Linked DNA regions of Saccharomyces cerevisiae S288C. Changing the gene in region 2 together with the main gene of any one other region gives a genetic interaction. Each region holds a gene or a part of one and is shown on either strand. Other genes may lie near its edges.

The links.
Region 1: mutations in COS10 (region 2) and YOL159C-A together harm fitness more than expected from each alone (negative genetic interaction), as found in Saccharomyces cerevisiae (one large-scale study listed by BioGRID).
Region 3: mutations in COS10 (region 2) and RPL43B together harm fitness more than expected from each alone (negative genetic interaction), as found in Saccharomyces cerevisiae (one large-scale study listed by BioGRID).

The regions. Positions count from the first base shown.
Region 1 is NC_001147.6:10,989-22,612, forward strand, and holds YOL159C-A (uncharacterized protein), read right to left. Parts: upstream 4,518-11,624; coding exon 4,245-4,517; downstream 1-4,244. Other genes in the region: seripauperin PAU20, read right to left, coding at 561-923; YOL160W (uncharacterized protein), read left to right, coding at 3,325-3,666; CSS3 (Css3p), read right to left, coding at 6,293-6,808; ENB1 (Enb1p), read right to left, coding at 8,503-10,323; oligo-1,6-glucosidase IMA2, read right to left, coding at 11,537-11,624.
Region 2 is NC_001146.8:776,952-783,981, reverse strand, and holds COS10 (Cos10p), read right to left. Parts: upstream 4,067-7,030; coding exon 2,942-4,066; downstream 1-2,941. Other genes in the region: YNR077C (uncharacterized protein), read left to right, coding at 441-695; seripauperin PAU6, read right to left, coding at 1,702-2,064; YNR075C-A (uncharacterized protein), read left to right, coding at 2,379-2,471; AIF1 (Aif1p), read left to right, coding at 5,244-6,380.
Region 3 is NC_001142.9:601,187-613,373, forward strand, and holds RPL43B (60S ribosomal protein eL43 RPL43B), read left to right. Parts: upstream 1-7,118; coding exon 7,119-7,120; intron 7,121-7,395; coding exon 7,396-7,672; downstream 7,673-12,187. Other genes in the region: BUD4 (Bud4p), read left to right, coding at 1-1,892; cleavage polyadenylation factor subunit FIP1, read right to left, coding at 2,034-3,017; transcription factor IME1, read right to left, coding at 3,383-4,465; SFC1 (Sfc1p), read left to right, coding at 8,587-9,555; YJR096W (aldo-keto reductase superfamily protein), read left to right, coding at 10,009-10,857; JJJ3 (Jjj3p), read left to right, coding at 11,227-11,745; YJR098C (uncharacterized protein), read right to left, coding at 12,000-12,187.

The DNA.
Region 1 (11,624 bases), on a different chromosome or scaffold from region 2:
TGTTGAGTTAAATATTCGAGATTTGAAATTTATAATTTGCTATAAATCTTGGTTTTCTTGGTCGGTTCCACAAAAAACTGTGCCAACCCAAAAATTTTGATATTTTACGTGTCGAAAAATGAGGGTCTCTAAATGAGAGTCTGATACCATGACTTGTAGCTCGCACTGCCCTGATCTGCAATCATGTTCTTAGAAGTGACGCATATTCTATACGGCCCGACGCGACGCGCCAAAAAATGAAAAAAGAAGCAGCGACTCATTTTTATGGAAGGACAAAGTGCTGCGAAGTCATACGCTTCCAATTTCATTGTTGTTTATTGGACATACTCTGTTAGCTTTATTACCGTCCACGCTTTTTCTACAATAGTGTAAAATTTCTTTCTATGTTTATCATATTCATAAAATGCTTCACGAACACCGTCATTGATCAAATATGTTTATAATATTAATATACATTTATATAATCAACGGTATTTATATCATCAAAAAAAGTAGTTTTTTATTTTATTTTTCATTACTTTTCACTGTCTATGGATTTTCATTCGTAAAGGCATCAGTCTCTAGTTTGCGATAGTGTAGATACCATCTTTGGATAGAGCCTTGGAGATAGCTGGCTTTAATCTGGTGGAGTACCATGGGACACCGGTGATCATTCTGGTGACTTGGTCTGGGGAAATACCAGTCAACATGGTGGTGAAGTCACCGTAGTTGAAAACGGCTTCAGCAACTTCGACTGGGTAGGTTTCAGTTGGGTGGGCGGCTTGGAACATGTAGTATTGGGCCAAGTGAGCTCTGATATCAGAGACGTAGACACCCAATTCCACCAAGTTGACTCTTTCGTCAGATTGAGCTAGAGTGGTGGTTGCGGAAGCACCAGCAGCGATGGCGGCGACACCAGCAGCGATTGAAGTTAATTTGACCATTATATTTGTTTTGTTTTTTAGTGCTGATATGAGCTTAACAGGAAAGAAAGGAATAAAAAAATATTCTCAAAGACATACAGTTGAAGCAGCTCTATTTATACCCATGCCTTCATCAGTCATCACTACTTAAACGATTTGTTAACAGATGCTCATTTATCACTTCACACCTTTCATGTTTCATCTTTCGCACCATCTTCATCATTAAAAATAAGATGCACTTGTTCCTGAACGAGGCATGCATATATCATGAATTTCTTATGCGAAGGTATTGTTCTATGGTGCCTATGTGTATTCGTATGTGGGGGAAGTGAGAATGCCAATTGTAGGGGTGTCGAGATGTGCCTTGAAAAAACCCTTTTCGCGTGCCTGTGATGCTTCCATTTTGGTCAAAAAAAGAACGTCTGAATTGAACGCTCATTCAGAAGCTTATTGTCTAAGCCTTTATTCGGTGTTTTCTAAACGATCTCCATGGAAGAAATATTTCTATCTCTTGAAATCCGTACAAGATATCAGACGTGTGTCGGGAGTCGTATACTGTTGGGGTCTGCAAATCTGTGAACTCTCGGCGATTATCTTGGTGCAATTACGTAATTGTAGCCGCTGAAGGCGGATGGTATTGACAGAAGTTGATATTCAAAGAATCGTGTATGATAAAAATAAAACTGTAACCATTTCTTAGTGGCAGAATTAACTCTACACAGAGGGAAATATTTGATTCCGAGATGCAATCCCCCTTTTCTAGCCAGATATGAAGGAGAAAAGTGAAACGGCAATAGATAGCGCTACTTTATTTTATTCTATTTTAAAAAAGTTCTCCAGGAGAAATACATTAATTATTGATACTCCTTGTAGCTTCTACGTCAAAAGAAATGTCTCTATCTTTATGGTAACGGCTCACCGTCAGAGCTCAATTGTGCTTCTTGAATGTATTTCCAAAGTTCAACGTTTAATGATCTAGGCGACAGGGATTTCTTTGAGAACAAAAGGCCACGAAAGCTCCGTTCAAAGAATGCCTGACAACCAGCCCCACTATAGAGAAACTCTTTTTTTTTTCTAAACCCATGAAATACAGTTCCTTTTCCATACCAAAAAATGAGGAAAGAAGCATGTGTTGGGAGTCGCAGGCAGTCGTAGAGGTTTACAATTCTAACCATTTTGTGATTCGTTGTAAGTCACCGTTCCATGGTAAACGTATTCTTAATTCTGCTTTAAAAAACAGGCACATATGTTATCGCTCTGATTTTCGTCATCCAAAAACATATGATAGCAATAATTTACTACTCGTTGTTGTGTTGATATGGTTAAACCACTCCTTGGAAACACAGGCATAGAAAAAGTAGGACAGATTCTTCTTCATTATGATTTAACTTAACATAAACAGGGTTTTTTAAAAAGAATTTATTAATGTTGAAGATTTATATTGTATAACATTGGACGGTAGTCAGTATCGTTCAACTTATATAAAAATAATTAGAAATAAGTGAGACAAACATAGGTTTATTGGTATCTGTCAGACTAACGATAAACTTAAGGTTTTATGAGGTTTGAAGCTTTCAATGCGTAAAACGATCCCAAAAAATACAGAAATTTGTATTGCATTCAAACATCATATCTAAAAATAACCAAAACAATTTTAATTGTGAAACAGTCACTATTAGCAAATTGATCAAGAGTTTCGACTGTAGAGCTTATCACCAAGTCAGTTTAATTCTACCGGGTCTGTATATGTACAATCTGAAGGGAATTATTACTGACAAAATCGTCCTCTTTTTATCACACTTGGTCTTTCGTAGTCCACAAGAAATATATGATTTTACTATGTGGTACTTTTTAAGTGCAAAAGGTACACGGGAGCTGGACACTCGCATATTTTTATAAAACTCTCTGTAGTTCTAAGCTTCTGATAAGAGCATCAGTACATCTGTTTTTATCGTATTATAGACACGATTTGAAATCTTTAAACTTTATTCGATTAGTTGATCCTGATGATCATGGACCTTTACCATATGATCCAAAATAAAAATGAAAATTGAGTATAGAGGAATAAACAAACAAGTTATACGTCATAATAACTCAAGTAGAGATCAAAAAAAAAAAAAGAAAAAGAAAAAAAAAAACTTTACCTCATTGAGAACTCAGAATAGCTTGTATTTGATAGTCTTTTTATAAGAAGGATTTAAGAATTAAGACGAAGATAATCTTCCAATCAGCAATTTTATCAGTGTGTGGGTGGGCATTCTGCTAAATACTCTTCAAGAATAAACATGCATGCACCAAGAGCTTTAATCTGTTTCTTAATAGAAGAAGTACTGGTATTTTAAAAATTAGCAATTCTAAAAACATTACTATTAGACATAAGGGGGTGATTTCTTTCTTGCACGATTCTATATGACAGTTTTGTATGGAAAATATAGCATTCATTTGTCTTCAGAGCTGCACAAGAGGTATATACGGCTGCCAATTTTATAGCGCTACATTGGAAAATTATCATAACATATCATTTCCAATATTTCTATTGCAGACCACCTTATTTAATCACTGTATCTCTTTAAACTGGTCTAAAGCTGTGTTTAATCGTATTAAGAGGCGAAAGTACATGATGGAACTGAAAAAGCACTGTTACAATTACCAGGTGAGTAGGATAGGAAATCGGAAAAAAAATGGGTGCTTCTTTCTAAAAATGGCCAACAACAGAGTTTTCTCAGTCAAAAATAGCCCAAGATTATTGCTCTTCTTTATATAAGATTGAATAAGCCATCACATAGATGCGTGCTTTGGTGACTTTTTTTTCCAGCTTTTATTTTAATACGTTCTTGCTTGTATACTATCCCACTTTATATATATTACCTAAACTTTATTATTTAAAGCTCATCATGGTGGTCATGGCCACCGTAACATTGATTATTAAAGCAGCATCCACTCTCAAATCCCTCTTTTTGGACAGCGCGTTTGGATCCACACCACTCTTCACAGCAAACATGACCATTCTTCTCTGTGCACGTTTTAATGCATGAATAGCCCTTTCCACCGCAATTGTGTGCAGATGAATAGCCGAGCGATTTACCGCAATCAGTACAACCTCCAGTCGAGATACGATACCTTGCGTTAAGACACCCTTTTCCTCTTTTTAGCATTTCTTGGTTGACTTGTTGGCGAAGAAAAGAAAAGTCGGCGTCAAGAATATTAATTTTGGTAACGTTTGTATCAAAGCCAATGGTAGTACCATTGAATTCAGTTATGATTAGATTGATAGTACCATTGGTTTGCTGTAAGTTTACTGAGTCGACAACAGAGCTAGCATACGCATGAATCTCGGTCTGATTACTGTCGAGGGTTCCAGCATGAACGCAAGATTATACCGTCGCCAACAAGCTCATTAATATCGTGACCATGTTTTTTGAATTCATCTTCATAATACAAAAGTAATCTCTTATTTTCTAGTGTCCTTTTGGTGATATGTAAAGTATAACAATATATCTTCTCTTCAAACTGTGAAGGATTTAGAAACTTTATAAAGACAAAGTCGGAGAAATTCTCTTCACAATATACTGTATCCAGCCACTGCCCTGATAAATCGAGTTCACAGTATTGCATATGTGCAGTGATTCCACAAATGGTATTGGTTTGGTCCCAAACTCGACAAAACAAAGAAACTAGCAGCGTATATATAGTACTTATTCTATGGGGCTATTCATTTAATATTTAATCTGTCTGACCTGGCATTCTGCAAACTGTCGGTAGGAAATTACGCGATCAATAAAATTCCTGTTGATGGGAGGGAGAAGACAAGCGAACTCTACGCTTTAAGCAGAGCTGGTGGAAAAACACCATAATAATCCGAGGCAGCAGTTACGCTAAATGGAAAGAAATCGTTAAAAATAAGGGGCAGGCAGGTGTGCTGCTGAAAAGGTAAATGAAAACCAGTGAGTACACTTCTGCATGGATTTTTTTGGCAACAAATCAACGAAAAAAATACTCACAGCTTCCGAATAAGACGGCTTTCCATCAGTATTATTAGAGAATTATGTGGCTGTAACCTTGCTGTTTTTACACTCGTTCCAAGTAAAAAATGCTCATCTTACCATTTTAGATAGAAAAAAAAAATCCTACCTGCCATTTCTAGTCAGCAGAATCTTTACAACATATTGCGAATTTTCTTCAATATTGGTTTATTTTAAGTGTTTGATAGAGTTTGGAGTTCAATAATTTACGCTTGATGCTTAAGTTATTTTTAGTAATGGCACGATAATTAATGCTGTTGTTACTCCCTTATATGATACTACGCGGTAAATCATCATTATACGGAAACCTTTAGATATAGTGCTGTCAACTGGAATTATTATATGGGAAATAACAATTTGTGCATTTTGCATTGAACAGCTCAGGAGAAGAATTAAGTGTAAATTTGGGAGTTTGCTTTCAAATCACCGCCCTGAAAGTGAAGCAACAATCTTGAAGCCTGCTGTATTGGAAGCATTGGAATATACGTCACTCCCTGAACATCTTGAATCTTTTTTTTATTGCTAGCTACAGCTTCAGTTAATTTTGTCACCTTAGACTACCAATTGTTTTATTTTGTATCTTTGGTATGATAATCTTATTCCGTCTCGTATTATACTTGTCCTGTTATGATCTCTCGAAGCAAGTTCTAAGAACTTGTGAGTTTTATAATACTCCTAGGTTTAGCCACTTTCCAAAGATAGAGCAATCTTTTTGGAATTGAAATGTCAGAGGGATGATTCTGACGATAGACATTTTTCTGATGAACTGTTGCGTACGCACGCATAAAAACAGTATAACTTTAGGTGGTAGCGGTAGTGTCGACTTTTATTGGAATGAGAATTAACTATCATATATCGACTAGTATCCATAGTACGTGTATATTATCGTATACAACGTAAGAAAGACATAAATATTGAGAAACAGTCAACGATTTTAGTAGAGGTTGAAACGCGAGGCTTGATAATTTCATGGGATAATGAATGACGGTATATAAAATGAAAGAAGATGTAATAATATTCATTATCATTCAAACTTTATCTCAGCCCATCCTCATCTTTTTCAGTACTGTATGTGAACTCGTCCACAAACACCGTATAGCTACGTCCTCTTTCATTTTCAGGTATGTATCAGCTTCTTGCATCACGCCACCACTAGCACAACGAAAGTATACAATACAATGTCATTAACCCTAGATGCTGTTGTTCCTCGATGTTGTGTATACATACATTAACTCGAAAGTGCGATGTTAATGATGTCCCAGTGCTATATAATAAATCTACAAACTAAAAAATCTTGATCACATCAACCAAAAATGTATCTTACTGCTAAATGTGTCATAAAAGGGTTCCAGTATCCTTACTACACCATTATATAGAAGACTCTTTATAATTTCTTCCGTCAGAATAATTACTTATCAATAGATTGTTTAACGTAGGAGGAGTTGGATGAGCGCAAGCATTTGTTGAGTTATTCGCAACTGGATGAACATAATGTCCTTCTTCATCATATACACGCATTACCAAATCCATTATATCTGTACAATAATCAGTCTCAGAATTATATGGCTCAGGTCCGTTATAAGTCGATAGATCTAGGTTACTGTACTCATAAGAATCTGTAATAGCCTCCAACTCAACTAAGGTATCCCTATAAATCAAAGATTGCTGATCGCCGGGTTCAAACCGTCCCGTTCTAAGTGTTCTACCACTTTTATCAGAATAAATATCATAGTAAGATGCTTGGAATAGCCAGCATATTTGATTGTTTGTCATATTAGTTGGCAAGTTGAAAAATACTTGGTAACCGCTGGTGATATCAACATATGCGGAGCATAATGAGTACAATTGAGAAAAAATGCAAAATAAACCAAATAAGGGAACCATTTTTTACTAAGCCTCTCTACCCTTTTAAAAATGGTTTTGACTTCAAACGCTTAGGAAGCAAACATGCTACTGCTATTTTTTGTCCAAAATTTTTATCCTTTATAGTTAATGTTTTTAGATATTGCGCGGATCCATTTAAAAGCAATTTTAGTTTGGTTACATAATGTTCAGACATGTATTTTAAAAGGTTAAGCGGCGTGCCTTAAAGCATTTTACTCCCGAGTTTGATTGACTCGCTTATGTTCATAGGTATATTAAACAAGAATTATGGAGAAAACAGTCTTTAACGTGTATTTTTAAATCTATATACATAAACCGTAGGACGCGGCATTCGACTGCTTTGATAAGAATTCAAAAGTTAGTGTCCGGAAATCTATTTTTAGTAAAAGTAATAATGTTATTTGTACAGAGTATTGCAGAAGTTCTCTTTTAGAGTGTTATGAATTCATGAAATCGAATCTATAGCTTGCAATATAATCAATGCCATAATACTACTGTTGAAATAGAGAATTTGGTGAATAATTGGATAATTGTTAGGATTTTCATTATTATTGAAGGCTATAATATTAGGTATGCAGGATATGCTAGAAGTTCTCCTCAGATATATAGCAATTCATGAAGGATCGTCGATTATTCTATAGAATAGTATTATTACTTCACTTTCCATTTTATATGTTGTGATTCATTATCTTATTACATTCCTAATTCTTGAGTGTCAGCTTTCACTAAATTTCATGGCTGTTTCTCTATCTTTATGTCGCCTTCACTTATTTCTACACTCCTCAAGATTAAGTATCTAATTTTTGTAGGAAAACGACACTGCAAAGAGTGGATCAATATATAATAACATGTTTTAAATAAACGTCTACTTATGATGGAAAACATTAACTTGTGAGTTAGGATTTTTTGTATATGAGATATTTTAAAGAAAATTTAGTTCCAAAGGAGAAAATGACTTGCACAAAAATGACATGGGCAAAATACCTAATATTAAATGAGCTCTATCTACAATCCGTGCAGCTATACATACTTTCACGCTTGTTATACATTAATCAGCGAACCATTATAAGTATGGGGCCACTAATATTTCATATATTCTCTGATCTGAGACTGTTGGAGTCGATTTCTCGCACAATCAGCACTGGTTAAAATTTCGTGGGGTTACTGCTTCTTTTAAGTCGGTCAATGTTTTCTTCATTCTTTCGAACTTTGAATATTTTTTATGACGTCAATTATAAGAAGTATGAAAGTCAGGTTAGCAACAGCTAAAACTAAATAATAAAGGGCTCAAGCAGGCTTACGGCAGGTGGTGATTATATTTACACTACTAATTTTTTTTAATTCGTTTACGCTCTAGTAAAAGTTCTTCGCAACATTTTTTTTTATATTTCTTTATAAAAACTACGGGAAATGACAGGTGCGAATAATCTCATTGATTTTTGTATTGTCAAGCCCATTTAAGACTATAATATTGCTGAAATAAACGTAACAAACGTATGGATATTCACTTAGTTAGAAAAGAAAAATAAAATAAAACTAATTCGAACTTTTTGTTGTTTTTTATTTCAGACAACAATATTATACTGTTACACGCCATTATTGATTACTACTTACATTAACAGTGATTATTTCAAAGAGAATTCTAGTTCAGGAAAGAGCTTAACACTATATTTGTATCGCTAGTACTCTCCAGCTCAATATCCAATTACACGACGGAGCCATGATTGTTGTTTGATTTTGAGCTTCTCTTTCTCTCGTTCTTCTGCGGAAAGACTTTGCTTCTTGTTTACAGTAAAGCCACGCAAGAAAAAACAGAGAACAGCATTGAAAGCCGCAAACGAAATGGACACAATTATCAATAAGCGTTGAATCTTCGAATAGGATTCTATCATCTGAACACGAACCTCTGATCCAATAGGGTATTTTTTTAGATAATTGAGTGGTGATTTGTAGATTGCCATCCCTAAACTAGAGCCGAGTCGCTGTATCAACTCCTTTGCCAGACGCTGAGTCCATATAGCACCAGCGATGGAAGCACCTACTGCGTCTCCGATTTGATAAACGGACATTAGTAACCCAGTGACAGTTGCCATCTCATTGTGGGTGGTTGAAGCGTGCACTAGCGTCCACATAGGAAAACGTATCATACCACCAGCTATACCGACCACAATCTCAGCGCCAATAAGACCCGAAATCCCGTCATATACCACCCTGTATTTGTACAAAAGACCCATTCCGATGACACCAAGAAGCGACCCAGCGACTACAAAGACTTTCGGATGAGGATAGAAATGCAGCATAATGCCGACAACAATATTAGTGCATGACTGTAGAAAATTGTAAAGCTGAGCTATCCGCTGCGCACTTAATGTTGATTCTCCGAATGCTACCATTAACACGGTGACCAAATACTCTAACTCAATCTGCAAACCTAGACGCCATACAAATTCCATTAGCAATGCAACGTAGATGGTTGGATCACCTAGATATACTCGTGGGATAAATGGATTCTTAGCAAATTTTAATTCCCAAATTAGAAAGATAAAACCTAAGCAGCCACCAACCACAATCATTGCAATAATGTGACCCTCTCTCCATTTGGAGGTGGCTCCACCAGCTATTGTGAGAGGTAATAATACTAAAACTAAGAAAGCAGTGAAAAGAATGACTCCAATTAAGTTTATGTCATCCGCAAATTTCCAGAGCGTTTGACGCAGGGTCTGTCCTTTTTCTTTCAATTTTAATGGTGGTAACTTACCGCTGCGCCAGGAAATGTACTGAGCATACACATAGGGAAGGACCAATATTAGGGTGGAGATGGGCACAATGATGCAAAAAATTCCATAGCCCCAACGCCATTTATATGGTGCAACATTACCAGCAACTGAGCTAACAATATTTCCACTTACCCATGTGTTTATAATCACGGGAATCAGAAATATGTTCATCGCAAATGTACGATCTCTCAATCCAGACAGATCACCAGTCAGTGCTGTAGCAAGAAGACGAAATCCAGAATAACCGAACTGTTGTATAACAATACCTGCAAAAAGTCCGGAAAACGTTGGAGTAGCAGCAGAAATAATTTCTCCAATAGTATAGAGCACAAGCGCAAAAATCCAGCATTCTATACGTCCAAACCGATCAGATATACGTGCGTATGGCACTGCGACAACAGAGGCTACTATTGATTTGACGGTATTGATCGATCCTACTTGAGAATGCTTTCCAAAACTGTTAGCGGCATAGGTTTGTATTGATTGCGAAATCTGCCCTCCGAGTCCAGTACAGTAACCCTGCAAAAACAGAGCCACCAGTAGGGCGGTCTTGAGTGAACTAAACGTAACTCCAAAAGCTGTGAAAGAGCTGTAGTCAGACAAGACCTTGTTGACAGCGTCTATACGGCGCAAGCCAGACGTGGTAGACTTCTCAACATTGCTATCTGTCTTTTCGCTGTAGCAGACAGTGCTTTTATCGTCTAAATTGTCATTCCTAGAGTGATCAGTTTCCAGCATTTTCAGAGAGACATTCACGAGCACTTTTTTGCTATATTAGAGTTCTGCTAGGACCCAAACCATCATTTCAATTAAATAAGTCATCTCTATTATCCAAACATAGACCCTTCGCCACTCAAAAGCCACAGAGGGGTGCAATTGTAAGCCGTGGCAGCCTCTATAATAGTATACATTTGTATCACATTTGGGTGCAATAATTTAAACAGATTTTTGCAGTTGACTCAGGACTAAGGGCAATTCTTGCCCAAACTACGGAACCCTGTTTCTGATCCGAAGGGCTTATAATCCATAGAAACCCTTACATTTGCTCACTGAAAACCCTGTGTCCTTATTTGGTATATATGATGCGAGGATTAAACGAAAACGGAAAATTTTAGGTTTGAGGGTCCCATTAGTTCAACTAAAAAAGAAAAACGAAAAAAAAAAAAAACAAAGTCAAACCATAAAAAGTTTTGAACTACAGAAAATGTAGGCTTGTCTATTCTCCTGAATTTGACTTTTTTTTTTTCTAACTTTTTCACACCCCTTCATTAACTAATTAAAACTGTCGTAGAATTTCCCTTCATTTTTATTCAGCCATCCTCAGTTAGGAACGATTGATACAGCCTTCATTCGTCATTTCGTGACTTGCATGTTGGATTGGAAAATTTGCTGGCGGAGCAAAGTCAAGACGTTCAGAGGGAATAGTAAATGAGATTGTACGAACCGGTGAATATATTTTGCTGGCTAGATTTTAAATGGCCATTGTGTTATTGCTCTATCAACATAAAAGAAAGTATATGTGTTTTCAGAATCGTAAAATTTGTGACAAACTAAAAATCAGTATCTTCATAAAAGTAGTAGAGACATTTCATAGGTACGTTCCGCCCTTAGATAAATGTGGCTGCAGTTCATAATGCAGTGTGTAGTAGAGATGATTCTGTTGATCATAAACAATAATATATAATTTCACTAGTACTTGTTCTTATATGCACATAACTCGCCGTATTATCTGGCCAAATGAGCTATAGAGTAACCCTTCTCTCAGCATTATTATAATACAATACCAATGCAAGGACATATGGAAAATGCTACACAAAACTATACTTTAGTGTATTACATAACTCATACCGCACTACCAGATATATGTCGTTACTATTTAAAGTGCGGTATGTAACATAGATAAAAATAAGTATATGTATATGTATAAAAATCTTGTCGTCACAATCATCAATCATTCAGATATGTAAATTCTGCCCTCCCATGGCTTCAATGTTCTGGAAGACGCATCAACTTCGCTTCTTGGGTAGTTTCCGAATTCC
Region 2 (7,030 bases):
CCTGTCTCTTAACGTACCCTCCATTACCCTACCTCCCCACTCGTTACCCTGTTCCATTCCATTCTACAACTCCAACCACCATCCATCTCTCTACTTACCACTAACCACCGCCCACCATAACCGTTACCCTCCAATTACCCATATCCAACCCCACTACCACTTACCCTGCCATTACCCTACCATCCCCCATCTGCTACTCACTATACTGTTGTTCACCCACCATATTGAAACGTTAACAAATGATCGTAAATAATACACATATACTTACCCTACCACTCTAATCCCACCACCACATGCCATACTCACCTTCACTTATATTGATGGGGCATACGCACACGAATGCTACAGTATATACCATCTCAACTTACCCTACTCTCATATTGCACTCCACTCCATGACCCATCTCTCACTAAATCAGTACTAAATGCACCCACATCATTATGCACGGCACTTGCCTCAGCGGTCTATACCCTGAGCCATTTACCCATAACTCCCACGATTATCCACATTTTAATATCTATATCTCATTCGGCGGCCCCAAATATTGTATAACTGCTCTTAATACATACGTTATACCACTTTTGCACCATATACTAACCACTCAATTTATACACACTTATTTCAATATACCCACAAAATCACCACCAAAATCACCTAAACATAAAAATTATTTATCTTTCAACTTTACGAAATAAACATATTGACTTGAAGTATGAGCACTACCATAACGTCATTAACGTAAAAGTTCCTTAATATTACCATTTGCTTGAACGGATGCCATTTCAGAATATTTCTAACTTTCACAGACCATACATTAGAATAATATGCCACCTCACTGTCGTAACACTCTATATTCACCGAGAAACAATACGGTAGTGGCTCAAACTCATGCCGGTGCTATGATAAAATTGTATCCTATTTCCATTCCCATATGCTAACCGCAATATCCTAAAAGGATAACTGATGCATCTTTAATCTTGTATGTGACACTACTCATACGAAGAGACTATATCTAAAGAAGACGATACGGTGATAGGTTTGTTGTTTTTGTAGGAGTCAACGAAACGCCAAATAATTCTACGGTAATATAACTTATCAGCGCCGTATACTAAAACGGACGTTACGATATTGTCTCACTTCATCTTACCACCCTCTATCTTATTGTTGATAAAACACTAACCCCTCAGCTTTATTTCTAGTTACAGTTACACAAAAACTATCGCAACCCAGAAATTTTGATATTTTAAGTGTCAAAAATGAGGGTCTCTAAATGAGAGTCTGGTACCATGACTTGTAACTCGCACTGCCCTGATCTGCAATCTTGTTCTTAGAAGTGACGCATATTCTATACGGCCCGACGCGACGCGCCAAAAAATGAAAAAAGAAGCAGCGACTCATTTTTATGGAAGGACAAAGTGCTGCGAAGTCATACGCTTCCAATTTCATTGTTGTTTATTGGGCATACTCTGTTAGCTTTATTTCCGTCCACGCTTTTTCTACAATAGTGTAAAAGTTTCTTTCTTATGTTTATCGTATTCATGAAATACTTCACGAACACCGTCATTGATCAAATAGGTCTATAATATTAATATACATTTATATAATCAACGGTATTTATATCATCAAAAAAAGTAGTTTTTTATTTTATTTTTTCATTACTTTTCACTGTCTATGGATTTTCATTCGTAAAGGCATCACTCCCTAGTTTGCGATAGTGTAGATACCGTCCTTGGATAGAGCCTTGGAGATAGCTGGCTTTAATCTGGTGGAGTACCATGGGACACCGGTTATCATTCTGGTCACTTGGTCTGGGGCAATACCAGTCAACATGGTGGTGAAGTCACCGTAGTTGAAAACGGCTTCAGCAACTTCGACTGGGTAGGTTTCAGTTGGGTGGGCGGCTTGGAACATGTAGTATTGGGCCAAGTGAGCTCTGATATCAGAGACGTAGACACCCAATTCAACCAAGTTGACTCTTTCGTCAGATTGAGCTAGAGTGGTGGTTGCGGAAGCAGTAGCAGCGATGGCGGCAACACCAGCAGCGATTGAAGTTAATTTGACCATTGTATTTGTTTTGTTTGTTAGTGCTGATGTAATCTTAACAAGAAATAGTGAAATGAAAGCGCATACCTCAAAGGCATATAGTTGAAGCAGCTCTATTTATACCCGTTCCTCCATCTGTTATCACTACTTAAACGATTCGTTAACAGATGCTCATTTAGCACCTCACATATTCTCCATATCTCATCTTTCACACAATCTCATTATCACTATGAAGATGTTCTTGTTTTTGAACGAATCATACATCTTTGATAGACTTCGTATGTGGAGTACTGTTTTATGGCACTCATGTGTATTCGTATGCGCAGAATGTGAGAATGCCAATTATAGGGGTGCCGAGGTGCCTTGAAAACCCCTTTTGCGCGCCTGCGAAGTTTCCGCTTTCGGTCAAAAAGAAAATCCGAATTTAGATTTAAGACCCTCGTTCAGAAGCTTATTGTCTAAGCCCATATTCAGTCTGCTCTAAACGGCTTCCATGGAAGTAATATTTCTATCTCTTGAAATCCGTACAAGATATTAGACGTGTGTTGGGAGTCGTATACTGTTGGCGTCTGCAAATTCGTGAATTCTCCGCGAATGCCTTGGTGCAATTACGTAATTGTAGCCGCTGAAGGCGGATGGTTTTGAGAGAAGTTGATGTTCAAAGAATCGTGTATGATAAAAAAGAATGTAACCAGAAGCAGGATTAAAACTCGACGCAGAGGAAAATATTTGATTCCGAGATGTAACCCCCCCTTTTCTAGCCAGATATGAAGGAGAAAAGTGTAAGGGCAATAGATGGCGCTAATTTATTGAATCCAATTTTAAAAATGTTCTCTAGGAAAAATATTAATAGTTGATCCTCCTTGTAGCTTCTAAGTCAAAATAAATGTTTCTATCTTTATGGTAACGGCTCATAGTTACAGCTCAATTGCGCTTCTTGAATGTATTTCCAAAGTTCAACGTTTAATGATCTAGGCGACGCAGATTTTTTTGAGAACAAAAGGCTACTAAAGTTCCGTTCAAAGAATGCCTGACAATCAGTCCCATCAAAGAAAAACTCTTCGTTTTTCCAGACCCTCTTTTCAAATAATCGTGTATTCGTTTTCCTTGCAATTGTATCCCATTTTTCAGGGCTAGCACCCTGCTCGTTTATAATATCTGATAGGTACTGCATTTTATCATCAACTTTCATCGATTTAGGCCTTATGTTTTGAAAATCATCTATCATTCTAAAGAAAATGTCTATTAGCCAATAAGATACCAAGCATGCTGGTGATAAATTTGCACAAATAAAGAAGTCAGACATATCAGGAAGGAAGTCTAGTGGAGAGAAAGAAATCCTGATTCTCTGGCAACTCCATGCTAGCTTGCAGCGATAGGTTTCCTTAGGAAGCTTGACATTTTCCAACATAGTAAGTTTGCATTCCTTCTTACCATGGATCAACCTCCACTGTGCGTTTACTTTTGTAAAATAAACCTGCACCGCGTCTTCGGTGTAAGGGACCAAAATCTCAATTGAACTGAACCTAGGATCTTCGTTTTGTCTCCTCAAAACAGCTGGCTCTAGAATGGTTTTCCTGAATGCTTCTTGGCAGTCAGTACCATTAAAAAAAAAATGTGCAGTTTTCCATGCTTTGTTTTCATACAAGTAGGAATTGAAATGTATTGCAACAGCGTCCCAATCAGCAGAGTATGCACCTGGTGCACTTTTGATGATTTCTTTAGAAAGCTGGGTGAGTTGATTTGATAAAGTATATTTACTGTACTGTATTTGAACTACTGGCAAAATAGCAATTAGCGCCAGGATTAGAACTACTGAAGTCAGAAGGGGATAAAACCAAGTACTGGCCATCCCCCACCAAACGGCAAGCGGTAACCATGATAGCGACCAGATCCAAAATCCTGAGTTGCGAATCTCACTGCACAACCATGTTAAACGGTTTCTGAAAATATCCTCGGGCAAACAAAAGCTACTATGGGTCTCAAGACCTTTAGAGGACAAAAGTCTAATCTCTTCCCCCATATTCAATATAGTGTATTTCACATTAATGTTATGAGGTACGTAACAAGTTTACTGAGGTTTAATCACTCGCAGTGTTTTTTATATAATTCGCAAGATGAAATTTGTTGACAGCGCGTTCATCACGCAGCTGTTGAGTTTTATAGTTAAAGCCACGATCAAAAAAAGAGCAACAGCTTCGAGCAGTTTCGAGTGAAAGAGAATCTATGTTGGTTTATGTTCCGGAAGCACGGGAGAAATGGACTTCACTCAAGTACCCAAGTTATCACTAAAATGTAAGTCAATGTATGTTTACAGATACGAGCTGCGATGTTTTATAATACATGGTACACAATAGGTGAAGTATTGTGGCTTATTTTTGAATTATCAAACAATGTAATAGCTTTCCAAAGCATACCATATAACTCCTATGAATTAAGCGGCGGTCTCATTATAAAGTCGGGACACTTTTTGGTCAAAGCTCTCGATTAGTTTTTGAATACTGTGCAAAGTCTTTAATGATATTGTCATCAGTTCATAATCGAATTCTCTGGTACATTTTTTCTTATTTTATTGATCAATGTTAATGTCAGTTTGCTGGCTCTTGTTTTTTTTTTTTTTTTTTTTTTTTGACTGTTAGTTAAGTTGCCCAGCTAAGCTTACTCAATGAGTTAAGTATTTATTTTCATATTTTCATCATAAAATACTGCGCTATCTCGTGCCCTCGTCTCTTATACAATAGGCAGTACTTGACTAGAATCTAGGAGTGCTTTTCCTGAAACTCTCTATAATAACAACCCATCTCCCGCCGATTGTATAGTGAGCCAAGTGTTCTCATAATGGGGGTCTTGAAGAAGACTTCAATGGTGTCTCATAGTAGCAGTACTAGTAGTGCTAGGAAGATGAGCATTGTACAGCTTACTTTTCGTTATTAGTGATACATGACTGAGTGATTGTAGTTGGTAATACTGGATTAGTAATCGTTAAAAAGCGATAAAAATTAATTGAATGTCCACCCTGCATGATTAGTCCTTTTTATCTGGCTGGACAAATGAAGCCTATTATAAGTATTAATATATTAGCTGCTGCAGACTAGAAACGAAAGCAGTGATAAATCATTGATAGACACACATTTCCTCATCGTTGTTCTTCATTATTTACAGGAAAGAGCAGAGAAAGGAAGAAAGAAATTGCAAAATATATGACAATTAACACAAAGAACATAGTTGTTGTTGGTGCTGGTGTGTTTGGTGTGTCTGTGGCAAATCACTTGTACAGGGAACTGGGTGGGACATACGCAATAAAGCTCGTCACAGCATCTAATTATGTGTATTTTCTACCCTCAGCTGTCCGTTTGACGGTTTCAAAGGATTATACCAAGTCGATCCTGCCGTTAAAAAATGTTCTTGATAGTGGTATTGAAGTTATCAAAGATACGGCTGCCAGCTTTGATGATAAGGAGGTAGTTTTGGGGTCAGACAGGGCCATAAAGTTTGATATCTTGGTTCTTGCAACTGGCTCAAAGTGGGCTGATCCAATTGGTTCAACTTATACCTTCGGGGATAACTATAAAGAGTATTTTGAAAGAGAGGCTTCTCGAATCTCAGATGCAGATCACATACTTTTTCTTGGCGGTGGCTTTGTTAATTGTGAACTAGCTGGTGAATTGTTATTCAAGTATTTGGAGGAGATCAGGTCTGGCAAAAAGCGTATTTCCATTATTCATAATTCCGATAAGCTACTGCCGGACTCTGGGTTATACAACGATACCCTAAGAAAAAATGTGACAGACTATCTCTCAAAAAATGGTATTACGTTGTACTTGAACACAGTAGGGGCTTCTTTAGACACCTCGCCGAAACGTATTTTTCTAGGTGAGGGCTCATCTAAATATATAGATGCTGATTTGATTTACAGAGGCGTTGGTATTTCTCCAAATGTGCCGGTCAACAGTATTTCAGACCTTTGTGACAAGAAAGGGTTCATTCAAGTTGAAAAAAACTTCAGGGTAAAAGCTGTTGAGGCAGGAAACGTTTTTGCCATTGGTGATGTAACGAATTTTAGATATCACGGATTGGTTAAAAGAGATAATTGGGTTGATGTTTTGACCCGAAATGTTATAAGTTCTTTACAAGAAGGAACAGAGGCTAGTCTCGTTGATGCAGATTGTCTTGAGACAGGACATGCCCCAAGTGGTGTCTCCCTTGGGCCAAATGCAGGGTTTGGCCAATTTCCACTACCGTTACTTGGGACGATTAATATTCCATCGTTTTTAATTTCTAGAGCAAAGTCGAAGAATCTTTTCTCCGACAAAATGGAACCTTTATTCAAAAAATAGACTAAAATATGAACTGCAGCGTATATATATATATATATATATATATATTAGTTTCTGTATTGTGAAACAAAGAAGGCCGCTGGAAACAACAAATGTTGAACTTCGCATTCAGATAATAATCTATTAAAACCCGAAGTTACTCGAAAATGTTAGCTTTGGATTCTCACACTATATGTAGTTTCTTTGACAGTAGTAAAACGGTATTACACCTGTGCATTAGAGTTATCAATCGCTTGATAACAATTTGACATTTTGGAGGGTCCATGAAGATAGGTACTGATTTTACTCGAAGTGTGAATGTTTTATACCGAAGTTTTGTTATATAGAGATACAGATATCAACAGGATTGACCACCTTCTTTTTTAAACCTAGTATAATGGGGACGGTGAGAATTAACAGTTAAGGTATAGGCGTGATGCCATGGGAGGGGCAAATACGGAACTGGAGTAAAGTATTGTGTGGTTTAGGTGCTGGGAAAAAGAAAGCATTAGAATGCTCAATAAAACAGCGGCTTCCCGCATAATATTTTTTTGATTATTTCATTCCGAGAAAGGCCGATATATGCAGAGGCTACGTGTTGCTTGCCAACTTCAGTATACTTTGCTTGCCACTACCAGAAATTGACCCCGGGAACTTTATTTTTTAAGTGC
Region 3 (12,187 bases), on a different chromosome or scaffold from region 2:
ATAGGGGCGATTTACTATCTTTATCCTTTGATGAGGAATTGGGTCAGGATTTTGCTAATTTTCTAGACGCTTTGGATCATGACTCCACATCTTTCAATCATGGGCCGGATGATTCATCCAGTTTTCAAAGAGACAGTTCAAAGAAAAGCTTCAATTCTCTTTGGGAAAGCAGTTACGAACTAAAACCGCCACCTTCCATAAGAAAGCAACCTATTGCCCCCGACGTCCTGCAAAAATTATTAGAATCAGATACTAAAGATGACGCAGATTTGGAAAAAATTAGAGAAGAGCGTATAACTGAACCAAGGACTGGTTTGGGGATTGGAATGCTGAAAACACCAGTTAAGGATGTTTCAATTGCGCTAGCTGCAAGCATTAAAGGATATGAGGCAAGTTTCAGCGATACTGACTCTCGTCCAGAGGGCATGAATAATAGTGATGCCATCACTTTGAACATGTTCGACGATTTCGAAGAAGATAAAATGACCCCTTCCACTCCAGTTCGTAGTATAAGTCCAATAAAACGGCATGTTAGCAGTCCTTTCAAGGTCGTGAAAGCTGGAAACAAACAAGAGAATAATGAAATAAACATTAAGGCTGAAGAGGAAATAGAGCCAATGACGCAGCAAGAAACCGATGGTTTGAAACAAGATATTCCTCCACTGCTAGCGCAGACAAAAGATAACGTCGAAGCAAAAGAAGAAACGATAACTCAACTTGAAGAACCACAAGACGTTGAACAAGAATTTCCGGATATGGGAACACTTTATTTAAGTATAAAGGCTATTTCCACGCTTGCATTATATGGAACTAAGAGTCATAGAGCAACATATGCTATTGTTTTTGACAATGGGGAAAATGTCGTTCAGACACCCTGGGAGTCGCTTCCGTATGACGGTAACATCAGGATCAATAAGGAATTTGAATTGCCCATAGATTTTAAAGGAAAAGCCGAAACATCCTCCGCTTCTTCTGAAAGAGATAGCTACAAAAAATGTGTTATCACATTAAAATGTAAATATGAAAAACCTCGACATGAATTGGTCGAAATAGTAGACAAGGTGCCGGTGGGTAAGAGTTTTTTTGGAAAGACAAAGTATAAATTTGAAAAGAAGTATGTACAGAAAAAACCTAAACAAGATGAGTGGGATTATCTATTTGCACAAGACGGTTCATTTGCTCGTTGTGAAATTGAAATTAATGAAGAGTTTTTGAAAAACGTGGCATTTAATACCAGTCATATGCATTACAATATGATTAACAAGTGGAGTAGAATCGCAGACAAAATTCACGGCTCAAAAAGGCTGTACGAGTTACCACGCAAGGCGCCTCACAAAGTGGCTTCGTTGGATGTGGAAGCATGTTTCTTAGAAAGAACTTCTGCCTTTGAACAATTTCCCAAACAATTTTCATTGGTCAATAAGATTGTTTCCAAATACAAGTTGCAACAAAATATCTATAAAGAAGGGTATTTATTGCAGGATGGTGGTGATCTGAAAGGAAAGATAGAAAACAGGTTTTTCAAACTGCACGGCTCGCAACTTTCTGGTTATCATGAAATCTCTAGAAAGGCTAAGATCGATATTAATCTGTTGAAAGTCACGAAAGTCCTACGTAATGAAGACATCCAGGCGGATAATGGAGGGCAAAGGAATTTTACAGATTGGGTACTCTTTAATGAATGCTTCCAGCTAGTATTTGACGATGGTGAAAGAATTACTTTCAACGCGGAATGCTCTAATGAGGAAAAAAGTGATTGGTACAATAAGCTCCAGGAAGTTGTTGAGTTGAATGTTTTCCATCAACCCTGGGTGAAAAAGTATTGTGAAAAGTTAGCTGAGGAGGAAAAGACTCGAACAACCGGTCATAATTTGAAGCAAGATTTTAATTAGAAGGTGATTAATGGAATGAAAACAGCATATAATCTGATGACTGAGAGGTCTTTAGTTTAAAGATTAATTAAATACACATAATAAGAGTAAATACGTGAATCATGGACGATATATTTTTATTTCAATTTCACAGATCCCCATTCATTTCGAATTTTGATTTTGATTTTGATTAGGCTGTTGGTTCATGGGTGGCATCATACCTGGCATGGGGAATGGTGGAAAGCTACCAAACATAGGTAAGGGTGGGAAGCTTGGATGCATTGGTGGAGCGGGAGGGTTTGGTGTTCCAGACATACTATTACCCATATTACTGTTCAGATTAGACATATTTGCATTGTTTACGTTGTTGTTGTTATCAATTATATTACCGAGGTTTGAGTCTGTATCATTCGCGGAATTCAACTTCCCTTGCTGTTGGAGGGATAATAGGCCCATTAGGATCCTCCTAGGATTATAATCTTGTTGTAGTTTTTCCTGTCTATGTAAATACTCCATCCAGGTAAATTCGTTAAAACCGTAATTGAAATAATCACTTAAGTTGGCCCCCGGTTGCCTCCAGGGTTTCTCCTTTAATACTTCAGGATCTATTGTCGTTATGCCAACACTATCAAAGATTCCCTCTTTATCCAGGTCTATAGAACCAGTCATTGCTTTCGGTACATTTCCATCGCTCTCTGTAGCTTTTACGGTCGTTGCCGTTACACCTTGATTTGCTTCTCCTTCTGTTATTAGTCTTTCATCTGATGTCTTTGTGATGGTATTGGATACATCTGTAGCTACGCTAATTACGTCTTTGCTTGAAGATGTCGCTGCGGTAGAATAAGAATCGAGTAGTTTTGCATCTAACCTAGTAGGGTCAGGACCCAGACTTATGATAACCTCTAGGTCAGAATCACTATCGTCATCTGAGGAGTCAGAGTAGATATCTTCATCAGAACGATCATCTCTGGCAGTAGCTGGAGTTTCTTCCACGGGAGAGTCGAATTTTTGCCTTTTAACTATATCAGGATTACTGGACGCACCTGCGTCTGCTTCATCATCTCTTGATCGTTTAGATGAAGGTAGTGCTAATTCGGAGTCGGAACCATACAAGAACTTGTCGTCTTCGTCTTCACTGGAGCTCATTTAGAGAAATGCTAATAATTTTAGTGTAGGCAAAAGGAATAAGAATGCAAAGCACGATGGTGCGGTTTAACAAAGTGAATTTGGTGATGTACTCTCTCAAGATTTATGTCGCATTATTCGCTACGAAGGTTTTTCAAGATTAAAACGAATCTCCTTTCCCATCGCGACATACGATAAGGCTAATAACGCTACGGTATTATGTCATGGAGCTTGAGACATTGAATACATATATATACCTATATATAATATATATATATGCAAATACACAAATTCTTAGCAATTTGAGTGAGACAATGGAAATAAAGAAATGAGTGTGAATGGATATATTTTGAGGGAAGGGGGAAGATTGTAGTACTTTTCGAGAATTAAGAATAGGTTTTACTAAACTTGTAGGATATTTCTTGAAACCTGACCTTGTCATAATAATCTTGATCATTAGAACTGCTGAAGGAGTAAGCCGCAGCATATCTTGACAGTTTGGAGTTCAACTTTTTTAGGAATTCTAACTCTTTTGAATTTAATTTTTGTAGTGATGGCGGTGGTGATTTTTCAACGTCGAAGGCAATTTCTAATGGGTAATAGTAGGAGGGCACCTGAGGTTCATCTATAAATGGATCTGCCTCATATACATTATCGGAGGCGTTGTTATTATTGCTGGTATTATTATAGTAATTACAATTAGTGCTTTTATGGTTGCTATAGTGACGATTATTAAAGGAATGTATGTTATCAGTATGTGGTGGAAACTGATCTTGATATTGGGAGTATGAATCCGTGTTTTTTGAATTTATTGATTCATGAATATTTGTGGGTTTTGAATAGGTATAATTAGTGGTATATGGGTAGAAGTCTTGTGTGTATGGGAATTCATTGAATTCAAAATTTTCTTGGAATATTTTGATATCTTTTTGTGCATTTGTATTAGTTTCATATTTTATTGTGTCACTAATATCGATATCATCTCCATTTCTGTTGCTCTTTTGAAAGTTATCATGGTTATTGAATGATGAGTGGAACGTAGATGCGGATTCATCATTAGAAAAAAGAGATGATAATGAAGAGGATCTGGTACTTTCAGAGCTCTTTTTTCCTCTTTCAGGACCAGTTGCCATTGTGCAGTCCTTCGTAGTTTTCGTTTCCTTGGAAATAGGCTGAGAATCAATATTTTCCAAATTCAGAAACTCTTCATTGAACAATATTTGAGGATTAATTAAATGAATTGGTTGTGTATGAACCAAGTTCTGCAGCTGAGATGAGGCAATTTTGTCAGACTTTTCAAAATGCCAACTTCTAGGGGAAATTGTAGATCCAAAAGAAAAACAAGGACGGTCTTCTTGATCGGTGGTTGTGTCATAATAAATGTTAGGTTGTTGTTGCTGTTCAAAAGGAAAGAGGAAGAAACCATCTTCTAAGGCAGCGTGAAGTTTTCCATGCATATCCGCTTGCATTTTGTTTGTGGGGAGAGGAATAGAAAAGCTTTTCTTTTATTATTTTTTTCCTTTTTCACCAGTAATGGGTGCCAGTAGGAATTTGTTTCTCTGTAGGTGACTAATGACAGTAGTATATTATGCTTTTAATCTTTAACAATACTACTGGTCGATTTATAATATGATAATGTAAAATAAATCGTAATAGGATAGTCGATGTTTGTATCTACTTCACGAAACAGTTATGGTATACGGTAGTTTAAATATCTGAAGAAGCAAAAATACCGAACTACAAGGGAAGCATTTTGAGAAAAATATTAAGATCAAAAGATAATTAATTTACCTTAAATACATAAAAGAGGAAAAGTAATATACAAGGTAAACAACAGGCAAGGAACAAGATCAAAAACGTCCGACCCCAATTTAGTAGTAAATTACAGTAAGAGAAAAAGGTATTGGGGCTGATACATATTAATTGTGCGTTGTTGTTGTTGTTTAATTTTAGATTGGCTATTATGAGTACACACAAAACGTTGTAAACGCAATCACCCATGGATAAGCGCTCCCTTTAAAATGCACTACGAAATCATTGATCTACTAACTTTAAACCGGACTTAAACCATCAAAGGGTGCTCTAGATCTCATCGATGTATTCTGATGCAGCCAAAATTGCGCAATCAATCACGTTTCCCGATATAGAAAACTAATTGGCTGTGTTACGTGGCTGGGGGTTCTGTAATTCCTTTCTTCCCCGGTGAATCATCAAGATTGGGCTAAGCGCCTTTGATCCTTTCCCTCGAAGACGGAAATGGGGCCGCAGGATAAAAAATGGTGTGTCTGTAATTCCGATTTTTTGCTTATGTAATCATGTAACTTTCTTCTAGTCCCTTTGCAGACATGCATGACACTTCCTTACCCGAATAGTGAGTTAGATCTGTGTTAGGATGCAGGATGGGCAGTTCAAAGGCTTTTCTTATCGTATCTTTACCTTTTCCTGTAACTAAGAAGGTTTTTGAGTGCATGTAAAGGCACATAAATGAAACTTTAATTCCCTGCGTATTTAAGACCCAAGAAGCCACCATGACGCTTCCTTGATGTTGTATCTACCCCCAATCCTGGCGCCCCCTCCTGCGGGCACGCATGCGCCTTTGATCCTTCCCCTCGAAGACGAAAAGTAAACAAAGATACGCACTTTTTTTCTCCAACGCAGTATTGAAGGTACCATCACATGCTTACTCACTTTGCGGCTGCTATAACACCGTGGCAGTGTAACGTTTTACCGTTTGTCCTTTGCTACCGCATTTTAAAGTGGTACAAGATGTTGAGAGAAAAGATTTCCTGCAGCCATGATTAGGAGAGGTAATAGCGGATGACATCAACGAATAAGCTTTATCCAGCGGCTTGTATAGTTCTGTGTACACAATTACTGCCGGGCTCTCTGAGCATTTGCGTTTCTCGGGCTAGCTTCATTACTTAGTAACTTCAAATTAATGAAATATTTAATTATCATGATTCCAAACAAAACTACTTTAATTTCAATCACATTTTTGTTATCTGCCTGAAACGATAGCTGTACGGGTACGTTCTTGATAAATAAAACTCAGTGTTTAAAACTCTCTTTTTACATCTGTTCGCCGATGATTGCTTGCTCGGAGGTACTAGTCATCGGAATTGAGGAAATTCCTTTTCTCCTTTGTTTTCTCTTTATCCCCGCGTAAATACGCGGAATGCCAATAATCAAGTACACATTCTTTCTCCAAGTTGGCCAAAAAATAGTTCAAATTCTTTAAACTAAGCGCTATTAATTATTATTAATTATATAAGTTTGAAAATATCAATGCAGGACCCTATTTCTTCACGAGGGTGTATCCAGAAACGGTTTCTTATATAGTGTTGGCGCTCACTTTTTTCCTACCCACGTCTATATATGCAACGCCTACTTGTTTTAATCAACATCACAATTTTATGCTTTTGAGGTACAGCAGTTAGCCGTACGTTTTCGGCAGTCGCTAAAAATGTAAGCGCGGCATTTACTGCCATTTAGTGGACTTCTTGAGGTTCTTTTGACATCCGCATTCTTGCAGCAAATACACCCCCACCCTTCTTTTATTGAGAATATCTACTGAACCTCCGTGAGGGAATACATTAATCAAATTACTCCAACACCATACGGGCCGTGGCGGAAAGAACAGCATGATATAGATAATATATGATATGAATTGATTTTTTTTTCTTTTTTTCTTGCGGCTGGTATGGTATTGTAAGGATGATAGTGCATTCTATGAGTGATTTTTGTGACGGTGACGTACGATCTCTATACCTTTTTAGCCGCCCATCTTCTGCCTTTCATTTTTATGCCAACCCTCCATCCATACATCCTTTTTAACCCATACATATCATTTAGATTATTGTTTTTTAATTTTTTTTTTATCAGATGTTGTTCATCGCGAAATTTATAATCTTTCGATTGAATCGCACTTGTCGTGCATAATGATAAATACCTTCCGGAGAGAAAACTCAGACCCACTGGGAAGTTCCTACCTGCCGAGTAAGACCAGCTTGAAAAATTTGAAATTTCAACTGAGAATCAGAATATATTACTGCCCTTCGTGTTGTAGGGTTATTCATTAACTATATACGATATTATAAACAGCATAGATAATCAAACAAAAAAATGTATGCATATAATAGAGGAATTGGATGACTAAATGTTCTTATATTGGAGTTAGTGGAGATGCGTGGTAGATTTGAATTAAATAGAAAGTGCTGGGGTTGATAAACCACGAAATATCGCAGTTGAGGAGAATGATAAGCCAGGATAGATGGTAGCGCATTTTTGGGGCAATCTCACTGTAGGTCCACCACAACTCAATATGACTACATCGAATCAGTTATAAGGCAAGTTTTTAGTTTACTAACAAATATTTCCATCTTATTTTTTTTTTTTGCAGGGCTAAGAGAACAAAGAAGGTCGGTATCACAGGTAAATACGGTGTCCGTTATGGTTCATCATTGAGAAGACAAGTTAAGAAGCTTGAAATTCAACAACATGCCAGATATGACTGTTCCTTCTGTGGTAAGAAGACTGTTAAGAGAGGTGCAGCTGGTATTTGGACTTGTTCCTGTTGTAAGAAGACCGTTGCCGGTGGTGCTTATACTGTTTCTACTGCAGCTGCCGCTACTGTTAGATCTACCATCAGAAGATTAAGAGAAATGGTTGAAGCTTAAACTTCTTTCATTCATTTTCTCTTGGCTTTCACTAGGTATATCTATTCCATAACGACTATGTTTTGTATTTGTTAATTTACATAAAACCATATCAGTACATCAACGAACTGTAAAAAAGAAACTTTAGCATAATTATTGCGGATATTTAAACTCACTTGCAGGTAAGAGCAAAAGGCGATTGATTTCCAGTCCGCCTCTTGTCACGTGATTTAGTAAGAAATTTTGACAGCACCCTCGGTTTAATGGAAAAGAGGGGCGTTTTTCGATGAACCCGAGGGGAGACTAGAGAATCATCTCGGTTGAATGGAGCATTATTTTTTTAGTAGCGCCCGCCCGGAGAAATGGACGTTGGCGAATGAGCCATGAATTATTAACCGCCCATGTCTACCAGATACCACATCGTATGACAGTACCAGCCTAGTCCCGGTAAACCGCAAACGGACCTTAATTGTGACGAAGGGCCCAAATTTGATGGGTCGGTGTTAATGATTAGTCCTCATTGTCATAATAAAGTGTGATGATGGAGGCAATGATGATATACGGTAGTACTACTGCTCGAGGTGCTATCTTTTAACCAATCCTTTGAGATTCTTGTCGCCACGGAGTTACTACCTTTTACAAACCGTAATGTCACATTTTGCATATATCTTATGTATAAATATATAGTTCACTTACTACTTGTTCTCGTTTTGTTAACTTTCTTGTTGTAGTTCTTCTTGTTCTTGGCGTTTCCCCCTTTGTTTTCTATCTGCTTCATAAGTAAAGTGCAAAGCATTTTGGAAGATATTATCAATTGAGTCATTGAAAGAAACTTGGCATCTTCCCTATTACTAAAACTAAGAATACTTGATTCAAGAAAGAAGTTTATATTAGTTTTAGCCGTAAGATAACATAACAAAGAAGAAGAAAGAAAAATGTCTCAAAAAAAGAAGGCTTCCCATCCAGCCATCAATCTCATGGCTGGCGGCACAGCAGGTTTATTTGAAGCATTGTGTTGTCATCCTTTAGATACAATTAAGGTGAGAATGCAAATATACAGACGGGTAGCTGGTATTGAACATGTTAAACCCCCAGGATTTATTAAAACTGGGCGTACCATTTATCAAAAAGAAGGTTTCTTGGCTCTGTATAAAGGTCTAGGTGCTGTGGTCATCGGTATTATACCTAAGATGGCAATCCGTTTCTCGTCTTATGAATTCTATAGAACCTTATTGGTTAACAAGGAATCAGGAATTGTGTCTACCGGTAATACTTTTGTTGCTGGTGTTGGGGCTGGTATCACCGAAGCTGTTCTTGTCGTGAACCCGATGGAAGTTGTAAAGATTAGGTTACAAGCTCAGCATTTAACTCCGAGTGAGCCAAATGCTGGTCCTAAATATAACAACGCCATTCATGCAGCCTACACTATTGTCAAAGAAGAAGGTGTTTCTGCCTTATATAGAGGCGTTTCCTTAACTGCGGCAAGGCAAGCAACTAATCAGGGTGCTAACTTCACAGTTTATTCTAAACTGAAGGAGTTTTTGCAGAATTACCATCAGATGGATGTCCTACCTTCATGGGAAACTTCTTGCATAGGTTTGATTTCGGGTGCTATTGGGCCGTTTTCCAACGCTCCATTGGATACTATAAAGACAAGGCTGCAAAAGGATAAGTCCATCTCATTGGAAAAACAGTCCGGTATGAAGAAAATCATAACCATTGGTGCTCAACTACTGAAAGAAGAAGGTTTTAGAGCTTTGTACAAGGGTATTACCCCAAGAGTGATGAGGGTGGCTCCAGGTCAGGCTGTCACCTTTACCGTTTATGAATATGTAAGGGAGCATTTAGAAAATTTGGGTATATTCAAGAAGAATGACACACCAAAGCCAAAGCCATTAAAGTAGATGATGAACAATGGGACTACAAAATGAAATAAAGAAAAAATAGAAATAGGCTAGAAGATCAATTATTAATCGCCCTATTCTTCCTTATTACCTACACAAAATAAAGCAGCAACATAAGAAACAAAAACAAAATGAAAACAAACCAAATAAATCTATGTAAGCATACTCATTTCAATTTGATATTCATTACTTGACTTTTTTGTCCTTATTTGAGGCTCCATAAGCGCGCCATTTTTCCCTACTCCCTTTTTTCGTAAATAGTAATAATGTGCTGAAAAGAACAATGAAGTAGTTATCATACATATTCCGTCGTGTCGATATGAGGGGAGGTGTCTCTTTCTTTCATCCCTTGTCGCAACCTCCAATATATAAGAGCATAAGCAACTGATCTTACTTTAGTAATTAACTTAGCATACCTAGCCCGAAGGAAGAAAAAAAATTCACCTCAACAACATGGTTCCTAAGTTTTACAAACTTTCAAACGGCTTCAAAATCCCAAGCATTGCTTTGGGAACCTACGATATTCCAAGATCGCAAACAGCCGAAATTGTGTATGAAGGTGTCAAGTGCGGCTACCGTCATTTCGATACTGCTGTTCTTTATGGTAATGAGAAGGAAGTTGGCGATGGTATCATTAAATGGTTGAACGAAGATCCAGGGAACCATAAACGTGAGGAAATCTTCTACACTACTAAATTATGGAATTCGCAAAACGGATATAAAAGAGCTAAAGCTGCCATTCGGCAATGTTTGAATGAAGTCTCGGGCTTGCAATACATCGATCTTCTTTTGATTCATTCGCCACTGGAAGGTTCTAAATTAAGGTTGGAAACTTGGCGCGCCATGCAAGAAGCGGTTGATGAAGGATTGGTTAAGTCTATAGGGGTTTCCAACTATGGGAAAAAGCACATTGATGAACTTTTGAACTGGCCAGAACTGAAGCACAAGCCAGTGGTCAACCAAATCGAGATATCACCTTGGATTATGAGACAAGAATTAGCAGATTACTGTAAATCTAAAGGTCTCGTCGTCGAAGCCTTTGCCCCATTGTGTCACGGCTACAAAATGACTAATCCAGATTTATTAAAAGTTTGCAAAGAGGTGGACCGTAATCCAGGTCAAGTTTTGATTCGTTGGTCTTTACAACACGGTTATTTACCACTACCGAAGACTAAAACTGTGAAGAGGTTAGAAGGTAACCTTGCAGCCTACAACTTTGAACTGTCAGACGAACAGATGAAATTTCTTGATCATCCTGATGCTTATGAGCCTACCGATTGGGAATGCACAGACGCGCCATAAAAAGAAAATGCGAACCGTAGAATAACGTATATAGAACATATAATTAGTTTACGTTTCACAAAGTATTAATATTACATGTAGCTTTTTCAGGACTTTCGATCTAAATCAAAGATTAAAGGAGCTGCTAGAGGTAGAAAAGGAAATCATTGACTTTTCTTGAAGATTTATGAGCGGGTAACTGGAGATGGAAATTTTCAGAAAAATTGTAAATGGATGCGATGACTTCGATGTGACGTTACTAGTCTTACCATTGTAAAAACCACTATCGGTGCCAAAAGATAAGCGCAATCAACTAAGAAATTTACCACGCTCTTTGTATTGTATTTATCTCCAATTTAATCTTTCTTTTGGTGTGAAAATTTAGCGAAAATGTCATTGGTGAATTCGTTAACACACTACGAAATTTTAAGAATTCCATCGGATGCAACACAAGATGAAATCAAAAAGGCATATAGGAATCGGTTACTAAATACGCACCCCGATAAACTTTCTAAAAGCATACATGATACGGTTAGCAACGTCACAATCAATAAGATTCAAGATGCTTATAAAATACTATCGAATATAAAAACTCGTCGCGAATATGATAGGTTGATCCTTGAAAACTATAAACGCCAAGGATTTCATAATTGTGGTGATGGGCTGGATGAATTTTCCTTAGACGATTTCTCATTTGATGAAGATAAGCTGGAGTTTATGATGAATTGTCCTCGCTGTCAATTTGTTGGTGGTTTTCATTTTAGTGAGAGTTTGTTAGATGAATGCATTGATAATGTAGACGCTATGGAACGGAGTCATTCTGGTTATCAATTATTAACCCAATGTAGCGCATGCAGCTTATGGCTGAAGGTTAATTTTGACATCGAGGAAGAGCAAGAAGGACAATAATGAAAATGGGAGGGGAAATTGAGCATATCAGATAAATCTGTTTATAGAATTATTATTTTACTTCGTGGGAAATCGAATGGTGTATATAAAAGAGGTTGTAAAATTGACGAAATAAATAGTATTTAGGCAACTAAAGATAAAAAAATATTATTTATTTTTATTCGCGGTGCGTTGCCAGATTTTTTTTGACATGCGGAATTTTGGTAAAAAGAAAAATGCAGATATGAATAGTAAACAAAGGAATAAAAAGCCTTTCATGAAGAAGTTCGTGTTCGAGATCTTCTTCCTTCTTTTTCGCTGTCGACGATAGATATGAATGCTTTTGCCATTGATTTCAAATCCGTCATTAAGCTAACATGACCTGAAGAACTGGCGATTTTACAAACAACTGGAAAGCCTCTCTGTTCAGGCAATAACCATTTATGGTGAACAACACCGTCGC